Daphnia pulex: one gene and its partners. The protein of the gene in region 3 purifies or fractionates together with the protein of the main gene of each other region. This does not show direct contact. Links are inferred from orthologs where the notes say so. Each region holds a gene or a part of one and is shown on either strand. Other genes may lie near its edges.

What was found. Proteins that work in one complex are often made in the same cells at the same time.
Region 1: the proteins of ribonuclease P protein subunit p21-like (region 3) and ribonuclease P protein subunit p40-like purify together in Homo sapiens (co-immunoprecipitation; 3 studies listed by BioGRID and IntAct, counting the BioPlex papers as one, with this or other methods). This does not show direct contact. The link is inferred for Daphnia pulex from reciprocal best matches to the Homo sapiens genes RPP21 and RPP40.
Region 2: the proteins of ribonuclease P protein subunit p21-like (region 3) and ribonuclease P protein subunit p30-like purify together in Homo sapiens (co-immunoprecipitation; 3 studies listed by BioGRID and IntAct, counting the BioPlex papers as one, with this or other methods). This does not show direct contact. The link is inferred for Daphnia pulex from reciprocal best matches to the Homo sapiens genes RPP21 and RPP30.

Annotation. Positions count from the first base shown.
Region 1 is NC_060026.1:1,151,710-1,160,562, reverse strand, and holds ribonuclease P protein subunit p40-like, read right to left. Parts: upstream 3,910-8,853; 5' UTR 3,809-3,909; coding exon 3,686-3,808; intron 3,625-3,685; coding exon 3,318-3,624; intron 3,257-3,317; coding exon 3,131-3,256; intron 3,066-3,130; coding exon 2,882-3,065; intron 2,821-2,881; coding exon 2,606-2,820; exon of another isoform or gene 2,549-2,605; coding exon 2,463-2,548; 3' UTR 2,394-2,462; downstream 1-2,393. Other genes in the region: uncharacterized protein LOC124204677, read right to left, coding at 5,535-5,598, 5,656-5,827, 5,900-5,938, 6,009-6,150; beta-taxilin-like, read left to right, coding at 6,526-6,615, 6,686-6,829, 6,893-7,028, 7,094-7,212, 7,284-7,369, 7,429-7,642; bromodomain-containing protein DDB_G0270170-like, read left to right, coding at 8,320-8,853. UniProt on the Homo sapiens protein: Component of ribonuclease P, a ribonucleoprotein complex that generates mature tRNA molecules by cleaving their 5'-ends. Also a component of the MRP ribonuclease complex, which cleaves pre-rRNA sequences.
Region 2 is NC_060018.1:994,360-1,002,613, forward strand, and holds ribonuclease P protein subunit p30-like, read right to left. Parts: upstream 3,361-8,254; coding exon 3,328-3,360; intron 3,262-3,327; coding exon 3,193-3,261; intron 3,134-3,192; coding exon 2,924-3,133; intron 2,824-2,923; coding exon 2,756-2,823; intron 2,694-2,755; coding exon 2,614-2,693; intron 2,546-2,613; coding exon 2,394-2,545; downstream 1-2,393. Other genes in the region: uncharacterized protein LOC124188900, read left to right, coding at 1-60, 292-390, 455-613, 678-888, 954-1,156, 1,230-1,355, 1,443-1,517, 1,600-1,776; dynein regulatory complex subunit 4-like, read right to left, coding at 4,046-4,300, 4,369-4,480, 4,541-4,728, 4,793-4,960, 5,022-5,426, 5,488-5,605, 5,667-5,911, 5,986-6,039. UniProt on the Homo sapiens protein: Component of ribonuclease P, a ribonucleoprotein complex that generates mature tRNA molecules by cleaving their 5'-ends. Also a component of the MRP ribonuclease complex, which cleaves pre-rRNA sequences.
Region 3 is NC_060026.1:4,900,967-4,909,075, reverse strand, and holds ribonuclease P protein subunit p21-like, read right to left. Parts: upstream 3,494-8,109; 5' UTR 3,445-3,493; coding exon 3,322-3,444; intron 3,259-3,321; coding exon 3,158-3,258; intron 3,079-3,157; coding exon 2,847-3,078; 3' UTR 2,669-2,846; downstream 1-2,668. Other genes in the region: peptidyl-tRNA hydrolase 2, mitochondrial-like, read right to left, coding at 1-89; uncharacterized protein LOC124206086, read right to left, coding at 4,512-4,805, 4,863-5,210. UniProt on the Homo sapiens protein: Component of ribonuclease P, a ribonucleoprotein complex that generates mature tRNA molecules by cleaving their 5'-ends.

The DNA.
Region 1 (8,853 bases), about 3.7 Mb from region 3:
CTTGTCGATGAGCGAGTTGGATTAAAACAAATTTCAGAATAGCTGAACAACTGAAATGTTTAGTCGTTCAAGCGGAAACTAGAACGGTTGGGTTTTAATATTAAAATTGTAATTCATAAGATAGGTATAAGTATTTGACTCGCTTTAACTTTAAATCTTCGTGCTTTCTCGTGTGCATTATGTGTATCATTGGTATTTCTTTTTTCTCTGAAATAATTTTACCTTTAAACTTCTTTAGGCATGCAGTAAAAGACACCAGAGCCAGAATAGTAGACTGACCGATGTCGGGAGAAACGCGGGATCGAACTTTTGCAGTTGGCGGGAACGCGTCGTAATTTGAAAAATAAACGAACTGATTGTAGTTCTGCCCGGCCAGTAATTGGGGAAGCCCGCCAGCAAGAAAACAGTAATATCAACCACAATCAAAGTAAGTCACCAACAATATTCGAAGCAATTTTGTTTTAACAGATCAAATAAGATTTTCATGATCTATCTCTATTACTACTAATAAATAATGTGTTTAAGTAAAACCAATTGAATCTTCGAATATATTTCCAGTTTCAGCAATTGAAAAGCAGACCATTTATAGTGACGCAAATACTTCCTCCTCTAGTAGTCCACCGGTAAAATGAGTGTAACCCCTACCATTTAGATAGATACCGGTGGAGAGTTGATTAATTTCAAACCAAATTTGGTCGCCCTTTTTCAACCTCAGCGTTGATGGCAGAGAAAAGGTTCTCCATGTGCCTCTTAGGGCGAACGCATTAGCGTGACAATATGTGATGTCCTTGCCATTTAACTTCAGCGCAATGTAGAGGAGTAGTCTATAAGAAGATTCCGGAAACCACGCCAATCCGTTCAGGTTGAAAAAGTAAGTCCCTGTTGTCGTTGCCGTGAATTTCCCCGTTGATGTATTCATAGCTCCGCCCACATTTACTAGTTCTTCGTCGAATATAATTGTTGTATTTGCTTGACTGAAAACATCGTTCTTGTTTCTCCTGACAAAGAAGTAAGTCGGTGTAGATTTGATATCAGAAAATCCAATTCGCGTTTCAAAACCTATATTAATTAAATCATAAAAGTCATTCCAATGCTCCTTCTTTTGAGCAAATCAAAGTATTATATCAGAGGATGAACTTACTGGGATCGAAAGTTAATTTGGAAAAGTCGCAGTAGACTGTTTCGACATACTTAGCTCCCATTACCGAGTACACTCCATTGAATTGGTGTCCTAGACTTTTAAGATCCAAGCAGGAAGTGGGCATTTTTGTTGCTAGTCCTTGTCTCATAGTAGCGTTACTTGGGGTTAATTGACTGTTGATTGAAGGAGCATTCCCAATTCCTTGCTTTAGATTTACAATCTTTATAGTTCGTTAATATCCGGTTTAACAGTGAAAGCGATGACTTACATGTTTCTGGTCTTTTAGTCTCAAAAGTTCTTCTAACTGAGCATCTTTAGCTTCTAGTTGAACAATTTTGATATCCATAAGTTGCTTTAGGTGAACCTTGCAATTTAAATAGTTTTAACATTAAAGCTAACCTAAATGAAATTTAATTAAATAAAACATTTTTGATTTATTACATAGCTTTCCTTCAGTTGCTGTAATTCTTCTTCTAACGTGAGTTTAGCTGCGCAACTCGACCAGGTAAAAGACAAAATTAGTATATAGAATAACGCTGTCGATAGTGGAGCCATTTTGCGATGGCCCCAAGTCGGAAGGTTCCGTTTTCCCAACTGATTTAGCGACAAGGATTCGCTATGGGTTTAAAAGGCTCTTTGACTAAATCATTCAATTTTTCGTAAACATATTGACTTGGTTGCGTTTTACACAGTTGCAGCTGGTGTATCTCCTTGAAAGGAACAAACTCCATACGAGACTGGTGCGGTCTGAGAGGATTCGAAACTTCTGTTACGAATAATCATGTGGTAAATATTTTTCTTTTGTGGTTTTATTTCAAGGTATTTCGCAGCAGTGCACCGACAGCTGTTGATTGAATTTCCTACTGAGCTGTTGACTCATGGCCCTCTTTTTGTCAAAGGTATGTCATTATTAGTATACACAGTCGTCGTTCAGTGAAAACGTTCTTTGTAAAAATTTGCGGTAGAAATAACTAGTTTCCGCGTTTTTTGCAGCTGTGTAAAGCTTGATTTCTTTTAAAAACGTATTCAGTCCTTAAACATAAACAATACGCAATTTTAAGTTCTAATCATTAAGTAATGCTATGAAAAAATTGTTTTGCGACACAGAATTTTAGGCTGTTTGAGGACATGGCTATTACATTTCTTTCCCTCCTTTTTGTAATGGCAAAACTCGAGTGATACCGGAGTGCAGTTGCATGTGTAAGCAACTATGAGGTACAGATATAAAAGATTAATTTTTTGTTTTAATCGATCCAGTATCTGACTTAATTTATTCAGATGTGTTTTTACAGAAGATGAAATAACAAAAGTCGAATTGAATTCATTTGATTTTCCTTCTAGATGTCTGGTTTGTAAAGACTTGGCAGTTGTCCGATGCCGTTGTAAAAACCGAGCAAATACTTGATGCTGAAAATTAAAAATAAATTAATATGTGAAATTAACATGATTGCCAATAAAACACACCTATTTGGAATTCATCAAATCCAATGAGAGTGAGATTAAGCCATGATTGAACAGAGTTTTCTGTTGCTTCTGGTCGCAATTTCAAAATCACGCCGAGTAACTCTTTTGCCTGTCTTGCAGAAAAAAATCCTTTCCATTTCAAGATGTGAACCTTTTCAGATTTATAACTGGGCTCTGGGCATGTCATTGAAGAAGTGTAATCTTCTTGGTCAGGACTTAGATAAATAAAACAAAGAATGTAATATCTCAGTTTACTCTAAAAGCATATCTAGTTACCATGTGATATTCAATGCAGCAGCTCCAACCCATTCAACAACATCTGAAATGTCTGTTTCAGTGCATAGCAGTGGAACCTTTACTTGATTTAAAATTCTTTCTTCAAAGGATGGCAGACACTGAACTACCTGAAAGCCAAGCAAGTCGAGGTAAGCAGCAAGGGAAGATGGGCAGATGTCAGAATCTGTGGTAAAAACATTATTATTAGTCAACGCTTGATACAATTTCCACTATTAAGAAAAGCCTTACCGTGTGGATGCCAATTCATGATCCAATCAAATTGTAGACTTGTCTGATTTTGTAAACACCAACTAACTCTTTTGTAGTATTTAGAATCAGGGGAAAACTTATCATCAAGAAGATTAACAGAAATGTCTACGAAAACCAAATACAATGTTAACAAACTGAAAAAATTTACAGTGAATAATTAAGTTACCGTATTTAGCAGGACACTTTTTGGATGAAATTACCTCTGCTTGGCCACTTAACCCTAGCTCTTGATACACATCTTTGCAGACAGAAAGATGAAGTTTGCCTGATTCAACAACAATACTCTGATCAACTTCACCCCATGTTCCTAAAGTTCTGGCATCAAAATGTCCTTTTTTAACAAATGCAGAGAGAAAATCAGGGTCCAGCAACTTATGAACGGGGAATTTGTTAACTCTGTAAAATGTTGAGTCTAAAAAGAAGTCTTGAATTTCAGCTATTTCAGTAATTTCCCCAGACAAGATTGCAGTAATCTGTAACAAGAATACTCCTCTATTAGAATAATGTAAAAAGTTATTGAAGTTTCACTCTTACCCCATGAAAATGATTTCCTAGGTCTTGGGAAGGCACTTTATTAAGTATTTGGTCTTTCTTCCATGTGCATGTTTGTTTCAAGGATTTTGGTGGAGGAAAATTTATTACCTCTGGATTGTACATTTCAGGAAGTATTTGAAAGTTAATTCCAACGAAAAAAGAAGAAGTTTTCGATCCGGTGTGGTTTGTAATTGTTTTGTTTACTATTTTAGTCAGTTCCTACTCCATCTAGCGAAAACGTTTTTAGTTATCGATAGTTTATCTCAAAGCTTATAGATGGCGTCACTATCATTACGCGGTTTATTTAAACTATCTAAGTCGACTATATTATAATAATGATATAAAATACCTAGGCAATGAATAAAGAGGGCCAAAGAAGAAGTTACGTGGAAAATTCATAATTTTCTAATGATTTTCTAATGAAGTCTGGAACTCTGGAAGATTTTGTACGATACAATAGATTAACCGAATATTTGTAGCATAATGAATAACGACCACTATGTAAGCATTCAATTTAGTGATCAATTTGCTGCATTACGATAATTGCATTAATCAGAATCATCTGGAAAAGGTCTACAAAAAGAAAATACTGTACCCGCTAAGCTTGCTTTTCCTTTAAACACCCTCCGAGCTCCCACAAAAATCTCTTCCTTTTTATAAGTATTTAACCCATTAATCTTATTTTCCATAGAGATTACTCAATAATTACTTACCCAGACTTTTAATAATTCAGAAATCAGAATATTCAGAATTGATAGACCTCTTGCACCGTGCGGATAGCAGGATTCTTGTAGTCCGACAATGTTGCAATCCGCCATCTTAATAAAACCACACCCTTTTTTTACATGGGCTCTTATGGGAGTATTTTTTCAAAGTGCTTTTTCTCTTACCTGGATTACAACTTCGACCAAAGAAAAATATGGAAAAATACTACATCATTCAGGTAATCCGTAGAATGTAAGTTTTCCACTATTGAAGTAGTGGAAGTCATATTAATTAAATGTTTTGTACAGGGCATCCCCTAAAATTTCAAAGTTGGTTTTATCACAAGTGTGTTGTCAAAGGGTGTCCTTCTTCTTTTCTGCGCCCTGCGATCAATTTTAAGAGCTCATTAATGGGCTGATCTCCTGATTGAATAGCCAGTATCGTGTTGATATGTATTTTTAATGATTTCATATTCTCATTATTCTGAGGTCGACACTTTCAACTCAATTGCTGTTTCTGATCTAGGTCCTGGCTGTTGCACATGAATATAACAGTTATTAAACCCACAGCCAAATTGATACTTCTATTGAAATTCATTACTTTTTCTTTAATGCAATCCTAACATATTCAAATTTTTTTAGTTACAGGCTAGGGATAAACTCACAGCATTGGAGGTTTCACAGGAATTCCAAATATCGATTGTGTTGGCACAAGAACGTCTTTATTTCATGGAAAGAAATGGATTGATTTGTAGAGATGATACTGTTAGAGGCCTTGTCTTTTATCCTAATCTCTTCTCAAGTTCTGCTTAATAAACATTTAAAAATTGTATTAAACAAGTAGTGCACGTCTAATAATTCACACAGAAGGAACTCTATGGGTTAACTCTTGAATGTAATAGTTTTAACAACAATCCGATATGCTGTACATATTTGTTGTGGATTGAAATGCACATTCTATATCAAAATCTACAAAATGGAATGGAGAACCTGATAGATTAATGTAAAAGATGAGATGTTAGGCAATGAACAGCCAAATGGCAATTGTATTTTCAAGCACAGCATTGTCCCTCAAGAGAGATCAAACGAGAAGTTTTTCAATTTCTTGTTGTAAAGACTGAATCTGTGGTTTCGGTTATGATCCCTCATGTACAGTCACAGAACAAGCTGCAATAACAGAACGGGAGACTCCACAAGCACGTCCAAGTGCTAAATAAAGAATGAGTTTATTATAGCACATCTAAACTAATAATTTTATAAAATTACCTTGCTTTGAACGGACAAACACATATGACATATGGAACGTTTTTGTCTTCACAATCACACAGCAATGGCAGATGCAACAAAATCTCCAGTTCAAAATCTCCAATTCGCAACATTAACTTGTTTTCCGTATCGTGTTTCAGTGTAAAATTGACACACACACACACACGACAATCTAAATAATAAGGAAAAATCAATTACCAAGTGTTTCAGTGGGAAAATGTTAAAAATTGTAAGTATACTATACATGTTTTGGTCCTACATATGTAAACAATGCCCATATGCCCTATACAAAACATTTAATTAATATGACTTCCACTACTTCAATAGTGGAAAACTTACATTCTACGGATTACCTGAATGATGTAGTATTTTTCCATATTTTTCTTTGGTCGAAGTTGTAATCCAGGTAAGAGAAAAAGCACTTTGAAAAAATACTCCCATAAGAGCCCATGTAAAAAAAGGGTGTGGTTTTATTAAGATGGCGGATTGCAACATTGTCGGACTACAAGAATCCTGCTATCCGCACGGTGCAAGAGGTCTATTGACACCCTTGCGCGATTGCGCCATCTTTGTTGTTTATGCTCCTCCTCCCCCATCCTCCACTTGCCATACTGCCATTAGTCACCGAATCAACGGTCTTTGACGGCCTAAACCTCGTTTTGGTCTTTGGGGTTTTTTAATAACTGGATTATCTCTTACCGAATTGCTGACATTTCTAAAAGAATACTAAGTACCTTGATAACAAAGAGTTTCAGTAGGAAATTGGTGAGAAACCAAACAAAAAAATTTCTGTTGTACACATGGTCTTCATGATTCTTTTATGATTTCATTTTCTTTTTTCATTTTGTCGTCCAATCTAGTAATAGAAGAATGAATTTTCAGCTTCAGTCATTAATGCAGCAGATCAGCATCAATGACAAGACTTGTTCTGAGGAAAACGAAGGTGAAAGTCAGCATTCGGTATGTTAAACATCACCACAACTTAAGTAACCTAATGGTCTATTATACATAATATTTTGACTTGGGTCAGCAGAGCTATTTTTCTTCTCCGTTACCTACATGGAGTTCAACTCCATTACATAACCAACAAAAAGCCGAACAAGTTAGTAGTGATTCCCCAAATTCTAGTATGGAAAAAGAACAATTTACCCCAAAGAAGAGAATTTTAACTCAAGTAATCATCAATTTGTACTACACATAAAGATACATATTTAGTAATTGATGATTAATTTTTTAGTTCAAATTGGCACCAGAGGAATTTTCTCTTGAAGATGTGCAGCATATGCAGAAGCTCATCAAGGAACTCCATGCAGAGAATGTTCAAAAGACAATGTCCTGCATTAAGCTAGAACAAACTTGCCATTCTTTAAAAGGTGAACACTTTCCTGTTTAGGTTCTGATGTTGAGTATAATTCAAACTTCTTTATTACCACTTTAGATGAGATTGCTTACTTAAAACAAAAAGACCACAAACAAAACTTGGAGGATTCAGAAATTTATCGTATGGAAATATCTAAGAGTCCAGCAACTGTATCAAAAGAAGAGAAGCTTGTAATGGTGAGTCGTGACTCGTGAGTCCTTATTATTTCCCTGGTAGAAATATAATCTTTTAATCTCGTTTTGTACAGGAATTAAATGATTGCAAGCTAAGATGTGACGCAATACAGCGCGAAGAGTTCAGATTGCGTGAACTGGTTTCGGTTTATGAAGAAAGGTCTACAATAATACAGTATTTGTCTCCGTATTTCGATTTTCAAATTTTGTTTCTGTTAGGTTTGAATACTTTCTTAAAATCGTCACGAATACTACTACAATTTTCGCTGAAAACAAGAGGATCTTGGATGCCACCATGATGAAAATTCAGGTTTTGGAATCGGAGATAGCCACATGGAAAGAACGTGAGAACAATGAATCTGAAAAGAAAAAAATGCTCCATTCATTGGTCGAAGAGATGTTTTGTGCATCAAGTCCAAATTCTTTGCGTTGATGACCGTGTGTGGCAACATTTTCCCCTTATTTTTAAGACGATTAGTTTCCCTTAGAATTTTTGTTTTTCATTTCAAGAAAAAAAAAGTTATTATTTAATGTAGCTCGAGAAGTTATGGTTCAAATCGATACATGAAAGCAACTCAAGCTGTTCTTTTTTAGTTGAAATTGAAACTTCGAGATATTACACAGCTTAACCAAATTGATCATCTTATGGTGTTTTACTTATTTTCGCGAAATCCCGCGAGGCCGCGAGTTTCAGTCAGTTTTCGTTCAACTTGTAAGGAAAACATTATAGACAACTCATGGGCACTGTATAGGGTACGTTCAATGTTCATTGAATTTGTTCCATAGTTCATTGAATCATAAGTTAATTATATTTTATGCGTGAAAAAGTCAGCAATTTTTAAAATTTTAAAGCAATAAAGAAATACTTGGCTTCACTGCTTCCTGGGTTGCTGATTAGTCTAACTGTCTAAGTTTCCGATAGCGACATAGCGTCCAAAATGGCCGAATGAGTCAGTCGTTCAACAGTTAGTTCCATGGTTAGTTCGTTAAATTCGTATTTAAGCTAAGACGAAGTATTTCTTGAATCTTTGTAGAATTTTGGAAAGTGTTGGTTGATCTTTTTAGACAATTTCTTTTTAGTGTTTACACACTACGGTAACTTGTTTTAAAATGTTTGAATTGCACGAGTCATCCGACAAAGATGAACTAGCGGAGAAAATAGACAAGATCATATCCGACATCGAAGAAAACCAAGTTGGTAATCACGAAGAAAATGTAATTACTGATGACGACGTCACCATCGTGCTTAGCCAGACAGACGACGACAAGTCGATTTCCGAAGAAGACGCGTCTAACAAAAAGAGAAGCCCTTCAGTAATTTCTGATCAAAGTCACAAATCAAGTAACATGAGTCAAACAAGTAACAAAAGCAAAAGTAAAAGTAAAAGTAGAAGAGGTTTTAATTTTAAGAAAAAGTTGAGTAAAGAATCTGAAAATGTGTCGCAAGTAAAATCGGTGGTGGATGAAAAACAAAATGGTTCTCCTGGTAAAACTAAAACACCTTCCGAAGAAGAAGTTGAAAAAGTCAAGTTGCCAAATGATTCTGGAGTTAAGGTTGTTCGACGAGGTCGCAAAGTAATCACAACGAAGATCAATTCTATTACTTCACCACCAAAACAACCTACATCAGGATCACTTTCTCTA
Region 2 (8,254 bases), on a different chromosome or scaffold from region 3:
CAGGTAGGCCAATCGCCTAGCACAATCCTGGCTTCCGAGACTCTCAACAGCGTGTCCGTGGTAAGTGAGCCGGTAATTCTGCCCGTCTGGTGAATGTCTGTAGCCAACTTCCTTGGGTCTAGTTTTATTCACACTTGTAGCAAAACCTCTCTTCTCGCGTTGTTTTGGACAACCCGCGTCTAACGGTGCAGATTCGACTCACTTATCCACTATACGGTCGTCTGTCTCCCAACTCGATAACGAGTGACCCTAACCTTATTCTTACTAATAATCATCTATCCATTCCTACAGTGTTGCGTTCGAGCTCACTTTGACTATGATCCTAAAGATGATAAGCTCCTCCCGTGTCCTGAAATTGGTCTCGCTTTCAAAAAAGGAGATATTTTGCAGGTAATTTGATGCTTTTAAAAATTACAAGATCTATTCAAGTGAATCATTTATGTTACAATTACAGGTTGTGAATCAAAGCGATCCCAATTGGTGGCAAGCAAAGAAGGTGGGCTGGAGTGGCCCAGCTGGTTTAATTCCTTCACAAGAGCTGGAGGAACGTCGCAAAGCGTTTGTGGCACCAGAAGCAGATTTCGTTCATAAAATTGGCTTCTGTGGAACTAGGGTACGTTATCTTTTCCCGTTAAAATTCAGCAAACAATAATTGTAATATTTACAACCATTAACAGATCTCAAAAAAGAAAAAAAAGTTGATGTACCAAATCAAATCAAGTGTTGATTTGGATAAAGCCGAGCTACTCCTTTACGAAGAGGTTACTCGCATGCCACCGTTTCGTCGGAAGACTTTGGTACTGGTAGGATCGGAAGGCATCGGGCGACGTACATTAAAGAACCGGCTGATCAACAGTGATCCTGATCGGTTTGGAACCACCATGCCTCGTAAAAATTTTCTTCATATCGCAGATTGCATTTATACGCACGGATTAAACATGTTGTATTTGTAGACACGTCCCGGCCGATGCGTGAATTGGAGGAGGATGGTATGGGCTACTGGTTCGTCTCGCGCGAAGAAATGGAACACGACGTCCGTGATCATCAGTTTCTCGAATTTGGAGAGCACAACAATCATATCTATGGCACAAAGTTAGATACCATCCGCGCCGTAATCCGCCAGGGCAAAATGTGCGTTCTTGACTGCAGCCCGAACGTAATATTTCTTTAATAACATATTGACTAATTAACACCATAGCAAAGCTCTATTATCTCTGCATTTCATGTAGGCATTAAAAACTCTACACAATTCACCAGAGTTCATGCCTTATGTCATCTTTTTAGCTGCACCTGGAATGGACCAGTTGAAAAGTCTTTACGAGAACTCCCGATATTCCAGCCGGAATTTGGGAACGGTTAGAATTCTATTTTTTTTTTTCTGTTTTCTAAATGTGTTTATGTTTGTGTAACTTACCCCATTTTCCCCCTTTTGGTTTAACTAGTTCGATCGTTCCAGTTCCATTCGTTTCAGTTCGAGAAGAGCACGTACTCTCGAATCCCTGACATCTTTATACGAGGTTTATTTTCGTACATGTTTTGCATGTCGTATAATCTAGTTTGTCCCCAATCAATTTAATTATTTCAAATTTTGCTCTACAGGAAGAGGATTTCAAAAACGCCTTGGAAGAGAGTGCTCGTATTCAGCGAATTTACGAGAAATATTTTGATCAGATTATTATTAATGAAGATCCCGATCAAACTTTTCGCAAAGTGGTTGAAGCATTGGAAATTCTTTCCAACCAGCATCAATGGGTCCCCGTCTCATGGGTCTACTAGACAAAAAACCAATAACAAAACGAATTCATTGCCAATTAAATTTCAAGCGATTTTTATGATTCATTGTATTCTTTCTTCCTCACTTATTTGACCGCATGCAGCCCACAGGTCCTGAACTTCTAGATCTTCCAAGAATCTGAAAACTTTTTACGTCCAACTGTTCACGTCTCCTCGTATGACAAAAGGGACAAAGTTGAGTTATTTTATACACACAAAATTTATTCATTCATTTGATTGAGTACTTTCTAAGCAGCACCGTTTTAGATTTTGTGACAGAGAACTTGACATATCCTTAATTTTGATTGTCATTCAATATAATACCTGAAGTGCTAATATGAAATTAAAGATCTTTCAAAAACGAGAAGATTATTAAGATTTAATGTTGTGTAGGTAGCTTTTAGGCTCTCTATACCTAGGGCAACATTTTGTTTGCATGAAAGTGTGAATGTCTATGACGTGCGATACATCGATCTATAATTGCAACATGTAAAGCCCTCCGCAAAAGCAGCTGTAACTTCAAATTTTCTGTTCTTATGTAGTTCAGCCATAATCTATTGATCAAAATGGAATACAAGTAAGTGCAAGATGTTGTCGAATTTCGTTTTTTGACTATTAAACTAAGCAGTTTCCATTTTCATCTTTTTGGGCTCTGGTTCTCCCGCAAGTCTTTCTTCCGCGTCAGTTATTTCCTTAGCTTTCCATTGTTCCTCTGGATCCAACTTGTCAGTTTCAGCAATAAAGCTGACACATTTTCCTGTTTTTCGAGTCACTGGAAATTCCCGAATGAAAAATGTAAAAGTGTAAAGTTAAATGCAGAAATTTATAGGGAATATATACCAGCATGAAGTGCAACGGATCGTCCACTCAAATTTAAAGCAGATCTAGCTTCTCCTTCACTTAATCCAAGAAGTAATCCTCTAAAATATGCAATGACTTATTTAGTCTCGTTAATAAGCAGTATCAACAATGTGTTCCTTACAAATTCGCTACGTCGTAAGGATTGCGAAGTTCTAATGGTGTAAGAGCTCCACTACTGATTATGACGTTCTACAGGAAGAGTTGAATATATATAGTAATAAACAACTAAGGCTCCAAAACACAAATAGTAAAATTTGGTCATTCTGAATTTGAAATAGATAAATCTCACCCGGGATTTGCCAACTGTATGGTACAAATGTGAAATCTGGATAATCTTTTTCCTATTTGACGAATCTCTAAGCATATGTGAATAGGGAATCTCAAAAAATATTCCTCTGTCAGTAGCTTGGCGATAATGTTTTCTGGTGAATCTCAGCAATTCTTTGGTTTCAGTCGGATGGTAGGTGATTATGTCTATATCCATGTTGGCTGCTGCATGCTATTAAAAAAAATAATTAAATAAAATTGATTTCAATCATAAAGATAAAAATAAAATACTAGAAAAGCAGCCGTAGTTGTTGGGCAGACAGCTATCAAATCAGATTTTTTGGTATTCCCCGATTGGATCTTTTGAGAAACACAAAATGCTTATCAGTAATTCCCAAATAAAGTGCATTTATATGGAGTACTCACAAGTTTCTGTGTATTCACAGGGTCACTGAGCATGACAGTCAACCGATGTAAGATTTTAACATTCTTCCCATGGACCTAAAGTAAGAGGTAAATTTGAATATAAAATCAAATCCATAGTTTCATTTTACAATACTTTAAATAAGTTCAACTCTTCTTCGGTGAATTTAAGTTTTAGAGGAGGTGGAACATCTTTTTTCTCTTCCTTTACTTCATTTTTCTTGTTCCCTTTTTTCTTGGTGTTGATTAAAACATCTTCTTCTATTGTTGTGTTAATAGCTATGGCACTATAACCAACTGAAAGAAAACAGAACAGGTGAAAACGACGAAATAGGGCAGGATTTTAACTAATTCATTTACGTTTGACAGCTCTCAACACGACTTCTTTAAGTGTTGTAGTAGGACTGCATGGACATGGGATATTGAAATCACAGAAACCTTGCACAGTGTTCATTGTTTTATATATTCGAAAATCTTTTGATAATTCAGTCACGTGCTTTGAAACAAAATCACAAATCACAAACGAAGCAAGCATGTGAATCAAGCAGACGAATTTCTGTCCCTCTAGCGACGCAAATTTATTTGTTTACCAACTTGACAGACACTTGTTAAAGGAAAATCACGCTTGATTTCGGTGTTTTTAAACAGTTAGAACACTAAGAAACAATATAACAATTAAAATGTGAAGTAATTAAATTGAAGTAGATTGTTCTGTTTTTGTTCAGTTGGCTGTTTTTAGTTTTCGTTGAGTGCTGGTTCCAACACCAGCACCATTGATGTCCAGAACTGCTGATGTAGACTTTGTTGAACCTACAACTGATTTGACAGAACCAGATTTGATGCTGATTCTTTCTTCAACAGCTGCTAAACTTTCATTGGAAGATTGAAATGATTTATCTGGAAGCTCCTCGTGGTGTGGTGCCTCAAAATTCATTTTAACCACTGTCTGTTTCCTCCCTTCTCTCAAAGACGATGACTGTACAGATAGAAAATGTGAATTAACAATTTGCTGATTAAAAGTGTGAGTGAAAGTGTGGAAATTACTACAGTCTCGCCAGACGCATTTGTACCCCCATCACCGTTTGAACCCGGACCGTGCGAGGTAAATTGCTTCAAAGCATTGTCCTTACACTTGAGAGTTTCTTGTAAAGATTCTCTGAAATCCAACAAATTAGAAGCTGTTATCTGTTTTCTCATATCTAATGAATTATTTTACAATTTTTTCTCTAGAACGAGTTGCTTCAAATTAGCTTTCTGTTGCACCTCCAGTATGGCAGCCATAAAGTTTTCTTCCAACTCATCTCGTTCAGTTTTAGTTCGCGCTAAACGCTGCTCAGCTACTTCACGTTGCCATACTGCTTCTTCAAGCTGCTTAGACATTGTTTTAGCGTGACCCTTTGCCGCCTAAAAGGTAAGACAATTTTACAATTTGTTTCCTTTGTAGAAAATGCTTGTAACGTTAGAATACTTGAAGAGAAGTTTTAGCGTGCAGCCAGTTTTCTGTGTCTTTCTGCAATTCTTTGTTACTTCTCTCCAATTGCTCGCATTTTTCACGAAGGTGCTTTATTTCTCTATCAGTCCTATGAAACTGCTTCTCCAATCTTTCTTCTTTAACACGAAATTCGGACAATTGTTCCTGGCCATTAGGATACTCAATTTTACGATTACGATTCTACAAAAACAACAGTATGTTTTACCTTCATAGAGGTGATAAGTGTCATGTTGTTGAGAATGATATCGTTGAAGTAGTTTTTCAGATTTATTATTGCCTGCTCGTGATTGATTTTCAGTACGGCCAAATGCTGTTGATCTTTTGTATCAACATCTTGCAAATCGCTCCTCCTTCGCTTTTCTAGTTCGTTCCTTTGCGCTTCCGTCTGATTTTGGAACTTGAGCTCAAGTTGTCTAGCTTCGTGCTCTAGACTTTTACGCATCTCGCTCATTTTTTTCGAGTGCTCCAATTTGATCTTATCGACCGTAAGTTGCTGTTGAAGACTAAGCTGACGTATTTCCTCTTTTAAACGCTGCTGTTCTAGACGCAGTATTTGCTCTTGCTCCTGATGTTCCAAATGAGCTTGCTCTAAAGCAGTTTGTTGCTCGTTCTATATAACAAAGAATTTAGTTATTGTTTTCATTCAACTTTATTTAAAAGTAAAACTAAACCCGCGATTCAGCCAAAGTTGTCTGGTGTTCATGAAGCAGGCATTTTATTTGCTGCTTGTACACTGCTATGTCCTTTTGTCGTATTTCTTCTGCGTCGTCTAACTCTTTTTCTTTATTCCTATTCATAAATGAGTCAAGTAAATCTTTCGTGGTTTTCTTAGAACACTGTAATTCAATACCTGAGACGGGCTCGTGTATCCTCAACTTCTTCTTTTGCGACTTTCCAGAAACCATAAATTTGATCACGTTCCAGTTGAAAGAAATTGCGCTCTTCACGTTCTTTTTCCAGTTGATCAAGAAGTCTAGTTAAGTGATTGAGAAGCTGATCTCTTGACATTTCCGATACTGGTAATCCATCCAGAAGTAAAGCACTACGATGGGACACATTCTTCTTCCCAGTCTTTTTACCTTTGCCTCCTTTCGCCTAGTCGTGTCATTTTATGTAGGTTATAAACTTATAAATGTCCCTTAAGAAAGAAATGGAATACCGTAACTTACCGGTTTTCCCGTTTTAGCGCCGCCAGCTGACTTTGGTTCATTTTTGCTCACCATTTTAAATAGACAACCCTTCGAATCTTTTCTTTTTTTACATTGATGCACAAGAATTGACGCGTTTGTCTGCCACTGTTGCGTTACCTAGTAACAACAAGGTAGCTATCCCAAGCTGATTGTTTGGCGTTGGTCGCTAAGTTACGTTCCACGGATGCATTACAAAAATAGCGGGTATTATAGAAGCTTTCATGTTGTTCTTTCCTCTTGAAAAACAAAATCTTTTATAAGCAAACGTTTTGCTTATAAAAAAATTGCGCACTGCATATTTTAAGAAAAGTGGGGTTCTACTGTCGGGCATTCGAATAATTTTTGTTTGAGTTCTATTGTCGGACATTTAATATATTTCAAATTCAATGGAGTTCTATTGTCTAACATGAAAATAATTAAAGAATTAATTGGAGTTTAAGTGTCGCGTAGTGATTTTTAATAATATTTAAAAATGAGTTCTAATGTCGTTGTAGTTCTACAGTCGTTGTAGTTCTACTGTCGCATTCAAAGAAATTTTTAAAAATTATTTAAAATATTGGGGTTCTAGTGTCGGTGGAGTTCTTCTGTCTTTGGAGTTCTACGGTCGCCATGCTCTTCTGGTGGTGACGATGAAGCATGCACAGCATACCATGGCGAATCAAGAATATTAAGTCTACTTCTACAACAAGTTACTGAGTGTTCCTTTTACTCACTTCTTCTGCTGCAAGAACACATCTTTGTGGCCCAGCAGGTTAGAATGATTTTATGATTTTACAATGGTGCGTAGATCAAAATTCAACCATCTCATAATTTTTGTTTATCTACAGATTTATTCATGACTGAATATTGATGCTCGTGTGTCACACTTCTGAATGTGTGGAGCTGTTAAGAAGTTGTGAAATACAATTTCCATGGTGCCCTGCACTTAACTAATCAACCAAGAGCTGCAATAGGTATAAGCAATAGGTAGTCTGTCTAGTGCCTACAGCAAATGGAGGTAAAAGTGGGATGTCATGTGCTTATTGTCAATATTCTGAAATTAAATGCAATATTATCTATGACTATTTTCAGGTGAGAAAGTGAAGACCCGACCAGAAAGCCTGATTACTTCGATATTTTCCACATTGACGCCTATCAAACGTAAATTGTTTAAGCAGATATAATATTTTGAAGATTCGCTATGTGCTAATAGCTGTTCTAATTATTCTTTTAACCCATATTAAGATCGTGCAATTATGCGTCCGAAAGAAAATTGCAACATGACATTGGCCTACAACACGATGTTCAACGTGGACTATCACTTGTTACTGGTATTTAAAATTTTTGTTAGTTATCCGTTGTCTGCCACGCCTTTTCTCCCCATGTTAGCTCCTTAGCACGGGCCCGCGCTGTTTGATCTTGTGGTCTATATATGCCATGGGGTCTAACAGTCGCACCAGCCCCAGATTCGCCGAAAGGCCCCGTTAGGCAATGCACCATAGGGACTTCCCCCTTGTCGATGCGGTGATGGATTCTAGAGGTTGTGCATTCCATCTTCTCCTATCACCGTGTCAGCCCGGACTTGTCAGCAATGGCAAGTCCCACTTGGTCATGGATCCTTATGACATGGCGCGTAGAGTAGTAGAAAAACAACCTACGGGTTGTATGGCGTGGCAGCCAACGGGTAACTATTTGTGTATATGTGTATGTTTATATATTGTGTTTATGTATTGCATATTGTGTTTAACTTGTATGTGCATGACTGTAAAACGTGGAGGAATTGTGGGAGGAGGTGGGATAACAATAAATGCAATTCACTTTTCAATATTCGGTTGTATTTCTTGTGTTCTATATTCATACACTTCATCTAAATATTCAACAATTAAATATAAAACTTAGTTCCGAAGTAAAAGAATTTGTACTTTAGGTATGTAATAGCTACCGCTATCTTTCATAACAATTTTAATAAGTTTTTTGTGTGAATAGAATGCTTGGTTACAAGACTACCAAAATTTTACATACAAAAAAGTAAAGAACACAACTACACGCTATTAAAACAACTGCACAAAAGCCTCGAGACTGATTTTCTGTTTGTACGCTGCAATCTAACCTGATTTCCTTCATTTATTAAAGATATACGACTGGCTTTGCATATCTTGTTCAACTGACTGTCAACTTAGAGGTTTTAGCTATCTAGAAACAAATTGTTAAATATTATCACTACAACAAAGAAGTAAATTTTTATTAAATGTTCTAAGTGAATCTTGGA
Region 3 (8,109 bases):
ATCAATTTGTAAAGCAATGCTGATGATATGATTCCACAAGATAATCCAACCACAAATGACGGACTAATAAAGTCTGTGAATGCAGCCATCCTGAAATCCAGAATAAAACACAAAATTTTGTTTTTCCACTGACACACACAGACACTTACACTGACAGTGAATTATTTTCAAAGAATTGATTTGCTCAAACTTGGCCTACTATATTCACGGCCACTCATCTGAGCAACTGTCTGTTGCCTAAAGCGGTGGCGGATAGGGATAGCATTAGCAAACATGTCGTACTGTCGGCGCTGTCGGCATGGTATATAGAGAGGATGATAGAGCCACGGCCAAGAAATTAGTCCATAAGGATAAGGGTTTGTCATTTGTCCGAACCTGTTTGGCTGTTTCGAGAACGTCATATGAATGATACATTCCTAAAGGCATCTTGAAAATAAAATGGATGGCCAAACTCCTGAATCAGATTCTAGGTGTCTTGGTTCCCTTCTATGATTTGGAGTGGGGCGATCCTGCATGGAAAACTAAACATGCAAATCCAAACAACTCGGTAGGCTAAATCATTCAGTCAAAAGCGCTCTTTGTCCTTCCTTGCCGTAACGATCATCTAGCGCTATCTACAGGGATGTACCTTGAGGTATAACTTTATTTTAAATACTGCATACATTATACTACGAAACAGGTTAGAGAACGCATTTTATGAACTAAGCCAAAGCGCACAATAATCATTTCTCATCGCGGGCCGTTGCTGTTCGCTCCCACCGCGACTAATTGAACATGACATACAAATAAAAATCACGGCGTCAACCTGTTTGTGAGACATAAGTTTAAAATCGGATTTTACCACGAACTTATAAGCAGTATGTTACAATGGCGCATTTACTAGAGCTTCGTATTATAGATGCCAATGTCACTGAAGTGAAGATTGCATAGGCTACATCGGTTTCAAAGTCTGGCGGCTCTCGTTCTTGCTCAATCTTCCTATAGCGAAGCTATCGCCCATTTCAGGAGTCATGCCCATGGATTTTTTTTGGGCTGTGAATCGGGAAGATTGGAACCCTTTGAGGAAATTCGAACACCACGCCTGGTTGGGTGCCCAGTATAATTAAAATAACGCTTTTGTTAAAAAAAAATGATTTTTAATTATATTTGTATGAATTCTTTTGTTTAGATTTTCGACGGTCGGCATTTTATTTGAGGATGATGCATGCGAGTGAGTTATAGTACTTCCGGCAATCCAGACTCAACATCCTGGCTTCTTCTACCAACAGTCTACGCATTCTATTCTAAGGAATAAGGCTTGTTACCAAGATTGCGATGCTTTTCGAAGAAACTGTCATTAATAACTTGACTCAATTTCATTCGGCGAATCGTCACAACTGGACTTCTGCGGGCAAAGACCCTGGCGGCTGGACCGGCTGGAAGTCGGGCGGCCTAGTCGGGTGAACCTTACCAGCTGATATGAAAGCTGAGGACGACTCGCGAGATTGCTGCAATGTTAGTCCGCGAACGACATCAAGTTGATCTCACGGTACTACTCCCTTTCAAAACATTTATCATGTCGACTTCATCTTAATCACTTAGTTTTTTAAAAATCAATAAAAGAGCAAAAACATTTCTTCTTCTAGTGGTGCAATCGCAATATAATGGCGGAATATTGCCGGTTGGAAAACTTTCCGGAAGCCCTTACGTAATCAAAATACACCTCAACTTTTGTTTCAATTTATTCTAAATGGAAACTTACTTTTTGTTTAACTTTCTCGAATCTTTGCTCTGGGATTGCCGCAAAGAGTTTTGGTGGATAACACTGACATCTTTACTCCAGTTGGGTTTGCGTTGTGCATTTCTTTTCGGTCGGCCTGGGCCAAATACGCCGTGGAATTGTGTTCCCGGGTGGCGATGTAATGAAGCCAAGAAGAAAAGGCGCAATTATTCGATAACATCTTTCACAATGATGATATACATGAACTCTTTCACAAGAGGATACCACTGCCACCGACTCTACAGCGGTTTCGTTGGCTACTTATTTAACTATGGGTTTATCAATTTGCTAGTTTGACCAGCAGCGCCTGCGTAACTAAAATCGTCAACAACATGATTTCGTCATTCGTTGAAGTCATCAAGGGCATTTTTACTCTAAAGCAATTTCTGGCGAGGATGTTGAAGTTCACGTCTGGTAAAGAATTGGAATTTTTCTTTCAAATAAAAAATGTAATAATATCTTTAATTTAATAATAATTGTACGGGTGCAAAGGCGATACAGTGCACCAGCTCACATGTGGCTCCCAACAATACTGTCTTTCCCTTACATTCCTTTCTGTCATGTGAAGGATCTGAAAGAGCTGGAATTTGAACCCAATCAGATCTGACACATCCAAAATCTACAAGTTTGAATTTGCTGCGCAATCTCAAGACGTGTTGAACTTCAAGTAGGTCGTATAGCAGGTACGTACGTCGAACATCCGACTGGGAGCTACACAACTAAAGGAAAATCTCCGTTTAACGATTTCTCGTGGATGAGAGGGTTGAGAGCTAAAGGAACATATCCATTTGAATTTCCTCGTGAATGAAAGAGTATAATCCTTTTTCATATTTTTGGTTTACAGAAGTTAAATGCATCCAAAATGTGTAAATATTGATTGTAAATAAATTGTAGTTATAAAACGATAGATTGAGGCTAACATAGTAAAATAATCTTTTTATTCAAGACAGCAGGTCAGTTCTAGAATGTGACTTGCATTCTTAACATGAGATTTGTATCACACAGACACACATAACAACTTCTGAGTGGGGGAAATTCTTTTTCAATAGAATTTTCTTTTTATAATTTATCCTTTTTTTTTAAATTATTATGTGGAATCCATATTCTGCTCGGCCCACAGTGAGTATCCAGGATTCAAAACAAACTGTTTAACACAGCTACAGAGCATACATTTCCATTCCTGAATTTTCCTCTGATTTCCACGCCGACTTTTTCTTTTTCTGGAAGCAGGAATTGGTTTTATTTTTACTTCTACTGATTTCCCTGGAATCAATAGAACTTTACATCCTTTACATATTGTTCGTTTTACAGAGTGGTCCCTGATCGAAAATAGTGAAAGTAAGTACATGTTCATCAGTTTATCTAATAAGCAAGGATGTCACTAAATGTAATTATTACAGTTTTAGTTGAAGTTTTTTTCCGATGCTAATCATATTCTTGCCAAATACCGAAGTAATCTGTGGACAGTGAGGAACTGCATTCAAGGCCACAATCGATGCCTGATTAGAAGGAAATTTACAAATTAAAATTTTATTTTATGAAACTGTATCAGAAAAGTATACCTGATATAGGAAATTAAGTCTTTGAAATCCATCAGATCCAGAAGTGTTCGTTTTTTTCCCAGACATATTCATTTTGCTGATAAAATATGGTGCGCCGCCGCCGTTTGTAGCAGCGAAATACATACACTTTTTTGAAGTTTGAAGCACACCACTTCTTCGTCTGCTACAGTCGTCTGGTTAGCAACATTGCCAGATATTCTTTTTGCGACCGAAAATTCTAAGATAGAAAAGCAAGCTTATCAGCTCGCCGCGAAGGGATAGTCCGTAAGCCAGTTGAAAACTGTCTTAAATGACAAATTCAGGGCCTACGATTAAGTCGGACTTATTCACAATTCACAATCCGATCCCTTGCTGCGCGCGCGAGTTTCCCGATAGGAATGGTCCAACAATTTGACCATATACATACAATCATTTATTGTAATATAAAATACAATCATACAACCATTTGAGGAATACGGTTACTTGGTTAGAATAGATTTCAATCCTACAGTTCCTCATTGTTCACTTGCGACTTGCCAGCCTTATTGGCCTCTGCCTGAGAGGCAAGATTCAGAAAAATGTGGTGGAAAGGATCAAATTGGACATAGTTATTGCAGAGGGTAAACACAGCACAGAAGAAGAGAGTAGGCCTAAGTCCTAATACCATATTTAAATGTTCAAAAAAGCTTTCATAAAATATTCTTATTCCCATCCAGTCAATAAACAAATCAACGATAAGGAAAGAGTCGCCGCCGCCTTAGAGAATCCCTACTTAAAAGAAATGTTCGATAGTTGCATAAGAGATGAAGAATACGAATTTTTTTGAGAAGAAAATAAAAAAAAGACAATAAATTTCCTCAGAGTATTTTGTATTCCATTCCATGAGATCAACTCACAAGTATGAAAGGCACTGCAAAGGCACTGCAGAGACAATTTCATCGCACACATACACCCTGGATTGATTTTAGTAGAAGACTAGTACAATTACCAAAAAGCTCCCTGGTATATTTATAAATTTTGCAAGTGTTATTATCTCTGGTAAGAAGAAAAGCATAACTAAAAGCGACAAGCAAGTTTGTTTCGTGAAAGACTTGTAAACTTAAAAAAAGATCAAAATTTCAAAAAAACGAGACAAGTTAAGTGAAAAACAAAAGGGAAGTGGGGCGGGAGGCAGTAAGTAATTTCAGGCGAGTCGAGGAGAGAGGGACTTTTTAAACTTCGGACAGGACCGCAGGAGTGCTGGGAATAACATCCATAATCACTTTGACAAGGTCGTTGTTGTTTTCCTCGGGCTCGATCTTGGACGCAGGCTGCTGCTTCTCCAAGTCCGTGGCAGTGCAAAGGGAACGAGTGCGGGGTGCTCGACGGCCGCTACCGCGTCGGACGGGCTTGTCTGGCTGCGCAAGGTGTTGATTCAGCAGCTTGCTGACTTCCTCCACGTCGGCTTCATTCTTGCCTTTGATGTTCTCTTTGATGACCTCGACCACACCGTCATCTTTCTTGTCCTGCAAAAGAAATTTCAATTATCCGGTTAAGAATTGAAAATAAGAAAACAAACTCACCTTGAATGTTTCCGTAAGGCCTGCATAGGTGATGCCCGACTCGACGAGCATATCGCGGAGGAATCCAGCTCGCCGGCGAGGCTTGATACCTTGACGAAACATGTCAGCGAATACAGGTCTCCATTGAGCCTCCTTAGTCAATTCTTCTTTGATCTTCTTGACTTGTTCGAGCAAATGATCGCAACTGATGAGGTTCTCCTTAAGTACCCTAGTGTTGATGCGGCCGCCATGCACCTTGCGAAGGATCTTGTGAAGTGCTTGATTGAGCACGTTGAACAGCGCTCTCCAAAGGTGTGTCGACTCCAAGGTGGTGATCAGCCAAAGCTTTAAGGACCATGCGATGTTCATCCTTCAAATCATGCACCTAATTTCGATTGAAACGTTAGAAAATCTAACCAATTCACGTGTTACTATTTCAGTTTTTACCTATTGACGGAGCAGATCCCAGCCATTAACACATCCAAGCAAAATCTTGTTGACATCATCAAGAAGACGGTAACGTTCCAAAGCCTAAAACAAACTGAAAGTTAGAAACGAGTCTAAAAATAGAAACTAAATGGCGATATACCTGGAAGAGCTGAAGGATCTTGGGAGTGGCGTGGTTCAAAGAAGACTAAGACAATTTTCTTGTCGGTGAAATTATCTTTTTGGAGCTTGTTGAGCCACGAGGCGAAATCATTGCAGGCGGCCACCTTGCTCTTGGACTTGAGCATTCTGTTGTTGTGGATCTCCTTGAGCATGCGGTAACGACCCGCAAAGATTGTAGTTGCGAATTACATTCAGCGGTAGCTTGCCATACGGCATGACGTACTTGTTGAAATCGTGCCCTTCTGCTTTCTCTTCCTGTGCCACGTAGAATGATCCATGACGTACTCGTTGAAATTGTGCCCTTCTGCTTTCTCTTCCTGTGCCACGTAGAATGATCCCAGGTTGACCATCTCGTCGATGAGGCGTCAACCGGTAACGGTGGCTTCCCACATGACCACAGCAATGCTGTCTTCGTGTTCAGGCATTGGCTGTGCTGGCTGAGTGGTGATCACAGCAGGGGGAGCATCAGATTCAACCTTGGCCTCTGTAGTTGGTGGCTGAATTACCACCTCTGTGATGATCTCCTCGGTGGAAGATGAGGTCTGTTGTTCTTCACTGTTGTTGGTCATTTCTGTAATTTTATTCTGCAACACAAAATACTATCGATAAATCAAACAGCATTCAACAACAGTGTAGATGGTTAAAAAAAAATGTGAGCAAAGAGAATATGAAGGCAGGCTTCAAGAACAGTCCCCCTTTTCTTTAACCAATGTGGAATTGAATTAGTTAATTAATTACCTGAGGATCTACCATTGATGGCTGCTGGTTGATGGACCAGTAACGGTGGCTTCCCACATGACCACAGTAATGCTGTCATCGTGTTCAGGCATTGGCTGTGCTGGCTGAGTGGTGATCACAGCAAGGGGAGCATCAGATTCAACCTTTGCCTCTGGAGTTGGTGGACTTGAATTACCACCTCTATGATGGTCTCCTCTATGATGGTCTCCCGGAAGATGAGGTCTGTTGTTCTTCACTGTTGTTGGTCATTTCTGTAATTTTATTCTGCAACACAAAATACTATCGATAAATCAAACAGCAGACATCAAACAGCAGACAACAACAGTGCAGATGGTTAAAAAAAATGCGAGCAAAGAGAATATTAAGGCAGGCTTCGCAGGCTTCAGTTCCCTTTTCTTTAACCAATGTGGAATTGAATTAGTTAATTAATTTTACCTGAGGATCTACCATAGATTTTTACCTGAGTCTACCATAGATGGCCGCTGGTTGATGGAAGAGAATTATTCATTTACTTTCGAACGCTTTCGAATGAAGACTACAAAGTGCAAATGGAAGGGCGTCCCTAAACTGCGAAAGCGAAACGCGAAACGCGAAACGCCTAAAATGCGAAACAGCTGTGCGAAACGGACCCAAAAGTTGGGACCCTGTTTCGCATTTTAGTCTTTGGGTCCGTACTAAACTGCGAAATCGGTGTGTGCGAAACGTCGCAGTGTAAACGTCTTGGTAGCAGACGACAATGGACTCAACAAACAAATTGTTAGAGTTTAAATGTTTCGAGACTTCGAGTTTCGTGCAGTCGTGCACCTTATATGGCCGGTCTATTTGTGTGTTGACCATGAATACGGAATACCTTGAATGCAATAGGTGTTTTTAATTAAAAGATTGGTATAAAAAAATTAATGGGAAATTAAATTCATGTATCAGTCATTACTCATTAACATTCTTAATTTTAAGGAAAGTTTTAGCCGATTAAATTTTAGCTTGATTTGGAACATGGGAGCTTTGATTTTTAGCTTGATTGACACTCATGGCCGATTTTTGTCGTGATGGCCGATTTTTCTTTGTGCACGTAGCCTACTAGTTGATTTAAATAATTTAATGTAATGTATAGTAATCCCTGTGCCATTATCTAATATATTATTATTTACAAATATAAATATCACCATACCGTGCTGCTCTATGTCTTTTATTTGTTTAATCATAAGATGCGCATTAAAACATACAGGGGTAGTGGCGAAGAAATCGAATTTGATTGCCCCCCTTCCTCCTTTAAAGCCTCATCATAGCGGGAGACAATGAAAAATGGCGGCAATCTCCGTCAATTTGGACCTCTGTGGGAAAAGGAAAACTTTTTTTTCGCAAGATGTTTCGCTCTTTAGTATGCCCTCCGGCATTTGGTCCCGCGAAACGGTCCCAAAATTTTGGTCCGTTTCGCACAGCTGTTTCGCATTTTAGGCGTTTCGCGTTTCGCGTTTCGCTTTCGCAGTTTAGGGACGCCCCAAATGGAAAACAGTTAAACAGAAACAGTAGACCGAGTTGACTAGATAATTGGCTGTGTTTATACAGTCATCCGTGAAAGTTTCTTGAACAGGCAAATGGCTCTCTATGTTTTAAGTTTAATTTGACGGAAGGGATACTACGGTGCCTACCGTACCCCCCATATTTTACGCCCTTTTCTCTTTTTCTTTATATTCTTCTCTTCCTTACCTACGAAAGAAAAAGAGAAAAAGAGAAAAAGGCGCAAAATACTGGGGGTACGGTAGGCACCGTAGTATCCCTTCCGTCAAATTAAACTTAAAACATAGAGAGCCATTTGCCTGTTCAAGAAACTTTCACGGATGACTGTATAGCACGGCCTTATAGCAATGCGTCAGAACTCAGAACCATCTAACGGCAGTTTAATAAAACACGAAAACACAAA